Macaca mulatta: one gene and its partner. The protein of the gene in region 1 interacts with the protein of each later gene in a pairwise test. Links are inferred from orthologs where the notes say so. Each region holds a gene or a part of one and is shown on either strand. Other genes may lie near its edges.

What was found. The genes of interacting proteins can lie anywhere in the genome.
Region 2: the proteins of BPTF (region 1) and MAZ interact in a two-hybrid assay, tested with the Homo sapiens proteins (2 studies listed by BioGRID). The link is inferred for Macaca mulatta from reciprocal best matches to the Homo sapiens genes BPTF and MAZ.

What each region holds. Positions count from the first base shown.
Region 1 is NC_133421.1:77,673,153-77,677,374, reverse strand, and holds part of BPTF (nucleosome-remodeling factor subunit BPTF), read right to left. Parts: intron 3,924-4,222; coding exon 3,744-3,923; intron 2,404-3,743; coding exon 93-2,403; intron 1-92. UniProt on the Homo sapiens protein: Regulatory subunit of the ATP-dependent NURF-1 and NURF-5 ISWI chromatin remodeling complexes, which form ordered nucleosome arrays on chromatin and facilitate access to DNA during DNA-templated processes such as DNA replication, transcription, and repair.
Region 2 is NC_133425.1:28,760,781-28,765,766, forward strand, and holds the start of MAZ (myc-associated zinc finger protein), read right to left. Parts: upstream 3,249-4,986; 5' UTR 2,857-3,248; coding exon 2,665-2,856; intron 2,583-2,664; coding exon 1,633-2,582; intron 1,337-1,632; coding exon 1,273-1,336; intron 1,135-1,272; coding exon of another isoform or gene 1,036-1,134; exon of another isoform or gene 996-1,035; coding exon 824-995; exon of another isoform or gene 432-823; intron 23-431; coding exon 1-22. Other genes in the region: kinesin-like protein KIF22, read right to left, coding at 4,253-4,300, 4,389-4,448, 4,538-4,750. UniProt on the Homo sapiens protein: Transcriptional regulator, potentially with dual roles in transcription initiation and termination.

The sequences.
Region 1 (4,222 bases):
TCTATTATCTCATTTTTAAAAAATGAGATATTCTTGTGAGATAATTCTTTCAAAAATTTTCTCCCTCCCCAAATACATTTTAAAGTACATACCTCCAAGTGATGCCAAAGGTTGGTCTAGGAGAAGGATATGGCCATATATCCAAAGCAGGTTTTGCATTGTAATTAAAATAAGGGACCTCTCGGATTCCTCCTTTTCTGGCCAACTTTTTTAAGTCATCGTTAGGCAAAACAAAAATGCTCTTCTTGCTGCTCTTGGTAACAAATTTTCTATAGGATGGCAGAGCTGTACCTGAGCGAGTCTTCTTTGGTCTTGAAAATTTCATCAGTTTCACTTTGTCTCGTGTGGAATACTCTTTGCTCACAGTCATAGATGTAACCAGCGTGCCTCCTGTGGTGGTCAAGGAGTCTGTCACTGTCGTGGTGACCACAGTTTTGCTCTGCTCCTTTACAGAGATGATGTCCACACTGCTGCCCGTGGAAGGTGTGGAAAGCTTGGTCACCGTTGTAGTGGTGGTTGTGACAGTGGATTTCGCACAATTTTCTGTGGAAGAAACCACAGTTTGCTTATCGCCTTTTTCTACCTTGATCACAGTTTTTGATTCTGTGGCCACAGTGGAAGTCATCGTAGTGACTTCTGTGATGACGGTTTTTCTTTTAGATTCTCCATTGACATTTTCATTTTTGTTGACAGGCAGACCATTTTCATCAATAAAGTCATTACTGAGATTAGATTCCTCTCCAGAAGTAACAGGTGATGAACTACCTTTCTTAACTTCTGAGGTTTCTATTTCCATATCTTCTACCTGATTAACTGAATTGCTTTCTGGACAAGATGGTGAAGGTGTGGTCGTCTGTGTACCGTCAGACTCTTTGGTTGATGGCAGGGTCTCAAGGCTATCTCGGTAGTTACCTTCAGCATCTGAAGAACTCAGTAAATGTGATTTTGTTTCGGAGCTGTTTCTTTCATTAAAATCTTCCATGATGACATCACCATTAATGAACGGCCTTACAGCAGATTCTTTAACAGTCAATGATTTAATATCATTCTCAGGGATTATTTTATTTATATTATTAACCTTTGGTTCAACATTACCACTTACTACTTTACTCTCAGAAATTTCTTTCAAGCATTCACCTTTCAAATATATCTTAGGTTTATTATCTTTTCCATTTATTTGAAATGTACTTGTTCTCTGTCCTTTCTTTTCAGACTCTCGATTTTCATTATTCTTTTTGTCAGTAGTATTTTTTAGCTTTATTTGATCACTACATTTATTAACTGATCTCTCCTCTAATTTCTTCTGCTGACTTGTTTTTTTACCATTTGCTTCAGTTACCTTACCCAGCAGTCTGTCCTCACAGTTTCCAGTGGACTTCTCAGAAACCAATTCACATTTTAATGGCTCCAAGCCTTCAATACCTTGTTCTTGAGTTCTGAACTGTTCAGAAATACTTTCATTGCTATTCTGAACAATCATATCTTCTTCACTGCTATCGTGAATAGACACAGTATCAGAACTATTTTCCAAAGTGCTATTAGATTCAGAGTCACATCCCAGTTTTCCTTCAAAGTCCATTGCTTTTGACAGAGGTGTGGCATCTCTGTCATTGGTACTTTTAGGCACTGATGAATGTAAAGCACTCTTGGAAGAAGAAACGATGGTGTCGTTTTCCTCCTGTATGAGCAGTTTTTCGTTCCTATAGATCAAAGAACCAATATCACCTGCATTGGCTAGTTTAGAGTCATCAATGAAAATACCATTTCCTTTTGTTCTACTCTTACTGGGTTCCTGGCCTTTCCTGGCAGGGTCAGAGGCATTTTCTTCTATGTCATTTTCAACGGAATTTTCTTTCTGACAGTTTGTTTCTGGGCTCCGAAAGGAGACATCATCTAACACTTGATCTTTTGGATAAAGTTTGTTGGTGGTACGACTAGGATCCCTCATTCCAAGAACTGAGGAATCACTTTCTGAACATCCCGGAATCAAGTCCTCAGGTCGATCATTATTTGCATTCGGGCTCTGTTCTTGTCGCATCGAGTCACTCTGATACCCTTCTTTTGCTTTTGTTATTACTGGTGATTCAGAGAGATTTTTTGAAGAATTTGTAGAAGTCTTTCCTATACCCTTAATTCCACCCTCCAACTTGATTTTTTCGAGGCGCTGTTTTTCTTCCAGTGTAAACTGTTTAATTCTCCTTTCAAGAAGTCCATCTAGTTTGGATGATTTTGTTTTCTTTTTGTAACTAGTCCTTAGATGAAAACCCTCACTAACATTGACCACATCTACTTGAGAACTCTCCTGACAATTTACATGTGACTCTGTTTTCATGTCATCGTCTATTTCCATTGGTTCTTCCTTGCAGGGTTTATCACTGTCAGAATCTAAAAGCTCCTTCACATCTGTGAAACAAAGACATTTATAGAAATGTAACTTTTACTCTGAAAGGAGGAATTTATACTTTTTTTTTTTTTTTTGAGATGGAGTCTCACTCTGTTGCCCAGGCTGGAGTGCAGCGGCGTGATCACAGTTCACTGCAACCTCCGCCTCCTGGGTTCAAGCAATTCTCATGCCTCAGCTTCCCGAGTAGCCGGGATTACAGGCATGTGACACCATGCCTGGCTAGTTTTTGAATTTTCAGTAGAGACATGGTTTCACGATGTTGGCCAGGCTGGTCTTGAACTCCTGACCTCAGGTGATCCGCCCAACTCAGCCTCCCAAAGTGCTGAGATTACAGGCATGAGCCACTGTGCCTAGCCAAAAATATTAAAGTATCTATTTTTCTCATTTTCTCTCTAGAGTTTAAACATATATTTCAAAGTTCCTGGTCAATAGATAGTGTTGAACTTTATGAGACATACATCCCCAAAATAATTAAATATTCTGATCCTTAGTATCTAAAAACGATGGAATGCCATAATGAAAAAGTACTTAGTATGTGGCAGGCTACTGCACACGCTAGTACCTTCATGTAATATTTTGTATAGACTTTTACAGTTATAACGTATCTCTAGCCACATGCATTATTTAGCTTATTTAGTTTTTTAAAAAATGACTTGTTACAAAAGACAATGTAGTTCCTCAAAAGGTTAAACAGAGTTACCATATGATCCAGTAATTCCATTTCTAGGTATATCTCCAAGAGAAGTGAAAACGCTTGGCCACAAAAAACTTCTGCATGAATGTTCATAGCAGCATTATTCATAATAGCCAAAAGAGGAAACGGCCCAATGTCCATCAACTGATGAATGGATAACAAAATGTGGCATATCCATACAGAGTATTATTCAGAAATAGAAAGAAAATACTGATACATGCTACAACATGGATGAACCTTAAAAACATGCTAAGTGGATGAAGCCAGCCACAAAGGACCACATATTGCCTGATTCCATTTCTATGGACTGTCCAAAATAGGCAAATCCAGAGAGACAGAAAGAAGACCGCTAAGCTGGTGGCACTTTGGGGAAGGATTGGTAAGTAACTGCTAATGGGTATGAATGAGGCTTCTTTTCAAGGTTATGAAAATGTTCTAAGATTGACGTGATAATGGTTGAACTTTGTGACTATACTAAAAACCACTGAATTTACACTTTAATTGGGTGAATTGTATGGGATATGAATTACATTTTAATAAAGCTATTATCAAGAAAACACAACGCAGTACCTTTCCTGTGGTGGGACCCCGATCCACTGCATTCTTATCACCCCCAGGCTGCCCTCCACAGCTGACTCTCCTTACCTTGGTCCTTCTTCTCAGTAATCTTTGAGATATCCATTTCACTTTGGTCTGCTCCTTTTGCAGCATCTGAATCTTTTACCTCATCTTTTTCAGAATCAGGCTCTGTTTTTATTTTTTTGGGACTTCGTGAACATTTTCTTTTATCTGACTCATCCATATTTTCATCCATATTATTTTTGGCTAAAAAGAACCGTGTATAGCATAATTAACGTTATTTCCAGTATTAGTACTTTAATATGTCAAGTTTAGTGAAAACAAACAAGTATTTTCCAGCAAGTTATGTTTCATTTTTTCATTAAAAAAAAAAAAAAGGACAAAGGTCTTATTGAGTATAAGGTACCATATAATCCTATATGCCTGGCTGACCTAAAACATAGAAAGAATGACTGAATTTCAGACATTTCAGAAAACTTTGTACAAACATTTTTGGTGAAACATGATTTATGAAATTTGTTTTAAAACACTGCAGGATTAAAAAA
Region 2 (4,986 bases), on another chromosome or scaffold:
AGGTATGCTGCCGTGGTGAAGCCTATTGGGGGGTGGATTGGGATGGGGCGGGGGTCAGCCAGGCGGAGACCCCAGAGACGGGGCTGATCTCCTAGGCGGGGGATGTCCTCCTCAGATGGCCCTGTCCTCCTCCCACGGCATCCTTGGTAGCCTGGGGTTAACTGCTCTGCTGGGGCTGGTGGGCACAGCAGCCCCTCCCTGAGCCTGGGGCGTGGCTTGCGTGGTGCCCGCTTCTCAGCCTTGGTACCTACAGAGCTCACTCTCCATGGCCGGGAGACCTCTCCCAGGATGACAGGACACTGACTCCTAGCCAATGGCAGGGTTGACCCTCAGCAGAGACGGCTGTGTCCCCCTCCCTCCAGTGCCCCGCGGTCTCAACCCAGTTAACCGGTGAGTCTGACTGAAGGCAGCTTTCTCTGCTACCCGCGCAGGGTGCGTGCTGGTAAATCCCAGCCCGTGTACTACTCCACCTGCCCCAGGAGCTGGAGACAAGACCTTGTGGCTGCGCGGCGGAAACCTTGCCTTGTGACCCTTGGAACTGGCTTTCTTGACTACTCCCTTCCCCAGAGCAGCCAAGTTCCACTCCCGCTCTCCCCACGTATGCCCAGGAGGTTCAACCTCTCTGGCAGATCTCTCCTCCAGCCAGGACTTAAGAGTCTAACAACATTCATTCAGGTGTCCCCCGCTGCTCCCTTGACCTCTTGGAGGACTCTAGACGCCACGAGCTCTTGGCTACAGCACCCTTAGCCCGTATCCGTGGCAGGGCGTCTGGCTAGGCGCCCACCCTCTGCCCCTGGCCCTCCCGGCAGTCCTCGGCATGTACCTTTGTTGCAGAGCTCACAGACATGGTGAGGGCCCTGGCTGTGCACCTTCATGTGGTCCGAAATATAAGCCGAGCTCAGCATCTTGCCACACACGTGACATGGCACCTTCTCCTCGTGTCGAACTGTGTGCGCCCGCAGCCGATCCTTCGTGGCGAAAGCTGCCTCACATTTCTGGGGAGGGGGGAGGGGCGTGGGGGGTGTCACAGGAGAGTTAAAGCTTGGCGGGCTGGGGAGGGGGGAGCAAGAGGTTAAAGGTATCAGAGCCTTGGGGATCTTTGATCTGTAGGAAATGGGAGTGACATGATGAGGCCTTGAAAAAGGGATGAGAAAATGGAGTGAAAAGGCAAAAAGAAGAGAGAGAAAAAGGGGGTCTGAGAGGCTGAACTCAGACAACTACCATGAGGATCAAAATCATGAAAACCAGGACGGGAGGAGGCGGGCTTCCTACCTCACATTTGAAGGGCCGTTCTGTTGAGTGCACTTGTCTGACGTGACTGTTGAGGTGATCCGGCCTGGGGACACGTTGGGGTTGGGGTTAGGGCGCAGGTGGTGCGCCCCAAATCCGCCAACCTGCACCACAGGCCTTTCCGGGGATCCCTGCGCCTCCTCCCGGAGGCCGGGCCGTCACAGCGCCACTTCGGCAGGAAATCCCTCCCCTGGAACCCAGCCGCTGCCGCCGCCGCCTCCTCCCACGCTTAGCTTCCGTCAACCCCAAGGCCCACCTCCTTGACAAAGGACCACCCCTTGCTCCCTGGTAACCGGGAGAGGCTTCCTCCCTCCGCCCTGGGAGGGGCTCCCCTTCCCCAACCTCAGCAGCCGCCTCCCTCCCCGCCAGCAACGGCCAGGCCACCTCCGTCGCGTCCCTCCCTCCCCACGGCCTAGCGGGCGGCCGAGGCCCCGTGCACACCGGGAGAAGCTCTTGCCACAGTGGGAGCAGTTGTAGGGCTTGTGCACAGCGCCGTCATGTGAGCGCACGTGGTAGCTCATGCGGTCCTTGCGCTTGAAGCGCTGCTGGCACACCGGGCACTGGTAGGGCTTCTCGTCCGAGTGCGACAGCTTGTGTCGGTTCAGGTGGTAGACGTCGCGGAAGGCCTTGCCGCACATCTCGCAGGCGTGGTTCTTCCGGATGCGCTTCCCCGAGGCGGTCGTGGTCACCACGCCACCGGCGGCCACTGCGGCAGCGCCGCCGCCGGCACCCGCCTCTCCCCCTCCCCCGCCAGCTCCGCTCAGCTGGGGCACGCTCAGGAGGCTCAGGGGCACCATGGTGGGCATCTTCATAGCACCCGAGGGGACCCGGCCGGCCTTGGCTCCCGTGTGGATGGCTTCGTGCCTCCGGAGATTGTAGCCGTTCTTAAACTCCTTGGCGCACAGAGCGCAGACGTAGGGCCCCTTGCTCTTTGTCTTCTTCTCCAAGGCAGACGCAACCGGGGCCACTGCGACCGTCGAGGTTGGGGCTACGACAGCGGTGGCCGCCGCCGCGGCGATGGTGGCGGCGGAGGCGGGGGGCGCGGCCTCGGCCGTGGGCGCCGACACGGGCGGGGGTGGCGGAGGGGGCGCCGGGGGCTGCTTCAGGGCTGCTGTGTCCACCGTGGAGGCAGCGGCAGGGGCCGGGGGCGCGGCAGCGACGGCGGCAGCAGCGGCGGCGGCGGCCGCAGCAGCCGCGGCGGACTCCTGGGCGGCGGCAAGCACCGGGAGCAAGTCCACCTGGAGGGGCTCGGCCGCCGGGGCCTGGGGCGTGGGCGGGGGCGCCGGCGCGGCCTACGGAAACAAGGCGCCGAGTGGGCCGCGAGTGCGGGCGGGCGCCCCCCCAGCCCGGGCCGCCGCGGCCGGCCCTACTCACCTGGAATGGACTCTGGGCGCAGCCCTGGGAGGCAAAGAAGCGGGACTGGAGCTCAGCCCCGACCTGCAGGGGGTTCTGGGCGTGACCCTGAGGTGGCGGGAAGGAGTTCATGAGGCCGCCCACCCCCCGGGAGTCCAGGCCCAGCACGGGGAAGGGGGGGGCCAGCAGCGTGCAAGGGAACACCGGGAACATGGCCTCGGCCGCAGCGGGGCCCCCGGGGCTCAGCGGGGGCCGGGGGCGCGGGCCGCGCGGGGCCCGGGCTCGGGGCGCCGCCCCCGGCCGGCCGGGCTGGGCCGCGCCGAACGCATGGCCCGCGGGCCGCCCCGCCGCCCGCGCACCCCGGCCGGCGGGAGGGAGGGAGGGAAGGAGGGCGCCTTGCGGGCCGCGGAGCGCCGCGGCGACGGCGGCGGCGACGCCCCCTGGGTGGGGGCGGGAGGCCCCGCGGGGCCGGGGCCGGGGGCGGGGGCCCGGGCGGCGGCGGCGGCGGCGGCGGCGGCGGCGGCGGTTAGAGCCTGGCGGGGCGGGGTGGGGGGAGCGAGGGAGCAGCCTCGGCCCCCGCCGCGCGCGCGCCCAGCCGGCGCCTCGGGGAGGGCGGGGGAGGGCGCGAGGGAGGGAGGGGGACAGCTGCGCGCGCACCGGGCGCGCGGAGGGGGGGTGGGACGGGAGGGAGGGCGGGCAGGAGGGGGTGTGGGCAGGGGGGTGGGGGCGGGGGGAGGGGGTTGTTACCTGGAAGATGAAGCTGCTCCAGTTGCTGGGATCCATGGCGGAGGGAGGGAGGGAGGTGGCTCGCGCTCACCCTGGGGCGGGAGGAGGAGGAGGCGGCGGTGGGGGAGGGGGAACCCGGGGAGGAGGCGCGCGGGGCGGGCAGGAGGGGGGAGGTGGAGGGTGGGGGGAGCGGAGCACACTGCGCGCGGGGAGGGCGGGCGGGGGGCGCGAGGACACACAAGAGGCTGGAGCGGGCGCGAGCGCGAGCGCGCGCGTGGCCAGCGGGAGGGGCGGGCGCGAGAGGGACTCTGGCGGGAGGAGGGACGGGGGAGCCACCCAGCAGCCCGAGTCGCCCCAAGCGCGAGACCCCTGAGACGGCTGCTGATTGGCTGACGATGGCGCAGGTGGTGGGCGCGCGGGAGACGGGGCGGCTTCTCTCCTCTTCCCCCCTCCAACGATTCCACCCCCCTCCCTCCGCCAGCGGCCGTTATTTCGCGCGCACGCGCACAAGGCCGCCGCCGTTGCCGAGCGGGAGAGTGGGGGAGCGCGCGCCGGGGGCACGGACGGGGCGGGGCTAATCCCTGAGCGCGCGCCCGCCTAACGGTCGCAGGCCTCATGCTTCGGCTTCCTCTTTTTGCGTCCTGCCGGCCACCGTCCTCCCCGCCCCACTCCAGCTGTTTATTTACAATCCAGCGCTGACTCGCTGCCCGAAGATGGCGCCCAGTGGAGTCTCCGGCCTCGCTCGCGGCCCACCCCGAGGCGGTCACACCCCGGTCCCGCCCCCACAGCCCCAAAAATCAGGCGGAAGCACCAGAGAAAAAACTGTATTTACACAACACGGGGTTATACAAGGATTTAAAAAGGCGGAGTGAAGAGACGACGGTCAGGAGGGGCCACAGCGCTGGCCGGCGGCGAGACCCAGGATGTTTGCCTGCAACACAGGAGGGAGGGGGGCAGCGACGTTAGAGAGGGACGCGGGGCGCAGGACACGCAGAGGAGGGGCAGGGCCGTGACCTCACCTTGAGGAAGGACTCCATCTGTTTCCCCGTTATGCCCTCCACGCGTTCCAGGTCCTCCACCTGGCGGGACAGGATGGATGGGGGACGGGGTCTCAGGGGTGCCTGGTCTCCCCAGCTCCCTGCCCTGTCCCTGTCCAGTGGGCTGGTACCTGGCTGAAGGGGCCGTGAAGCTCCCGCCATCCCACGATTAGCTGAGCCTTCTTCGGGCCAATACGCTGAAGACTGCGGAGATCCCGTGCTGAGCCTTCGTTCAGCAGATCCAATATTTTTTGGCGCCCATGAGCCAGTAGCTCCGGGCTGATCTGTAGCTCCCAGCAGTCCTCAGCCTTCTCCTCAGGCTCTGGGGCATCCAGGGACTCCACCTGGGAGACAAAGGGAGGTGAGTGACACGCAGGGCAGCCAAGTGCTTTGGGCTCTTCTGCCAAAACTAGGAGCCCAGCACCAGCGACCTCCTGCGCTGCAGCCTCTTCCTCTCCTCCTCAAGTTGTGTCCAAAATCCCGCCTTCAGGTCACTCTCTGGGTTAATTCTCATTATGCAACTAGTGAAACTGAGATACTATTTAGTACTCAGTGGTAATATTAGCACCTTTCTCATGGA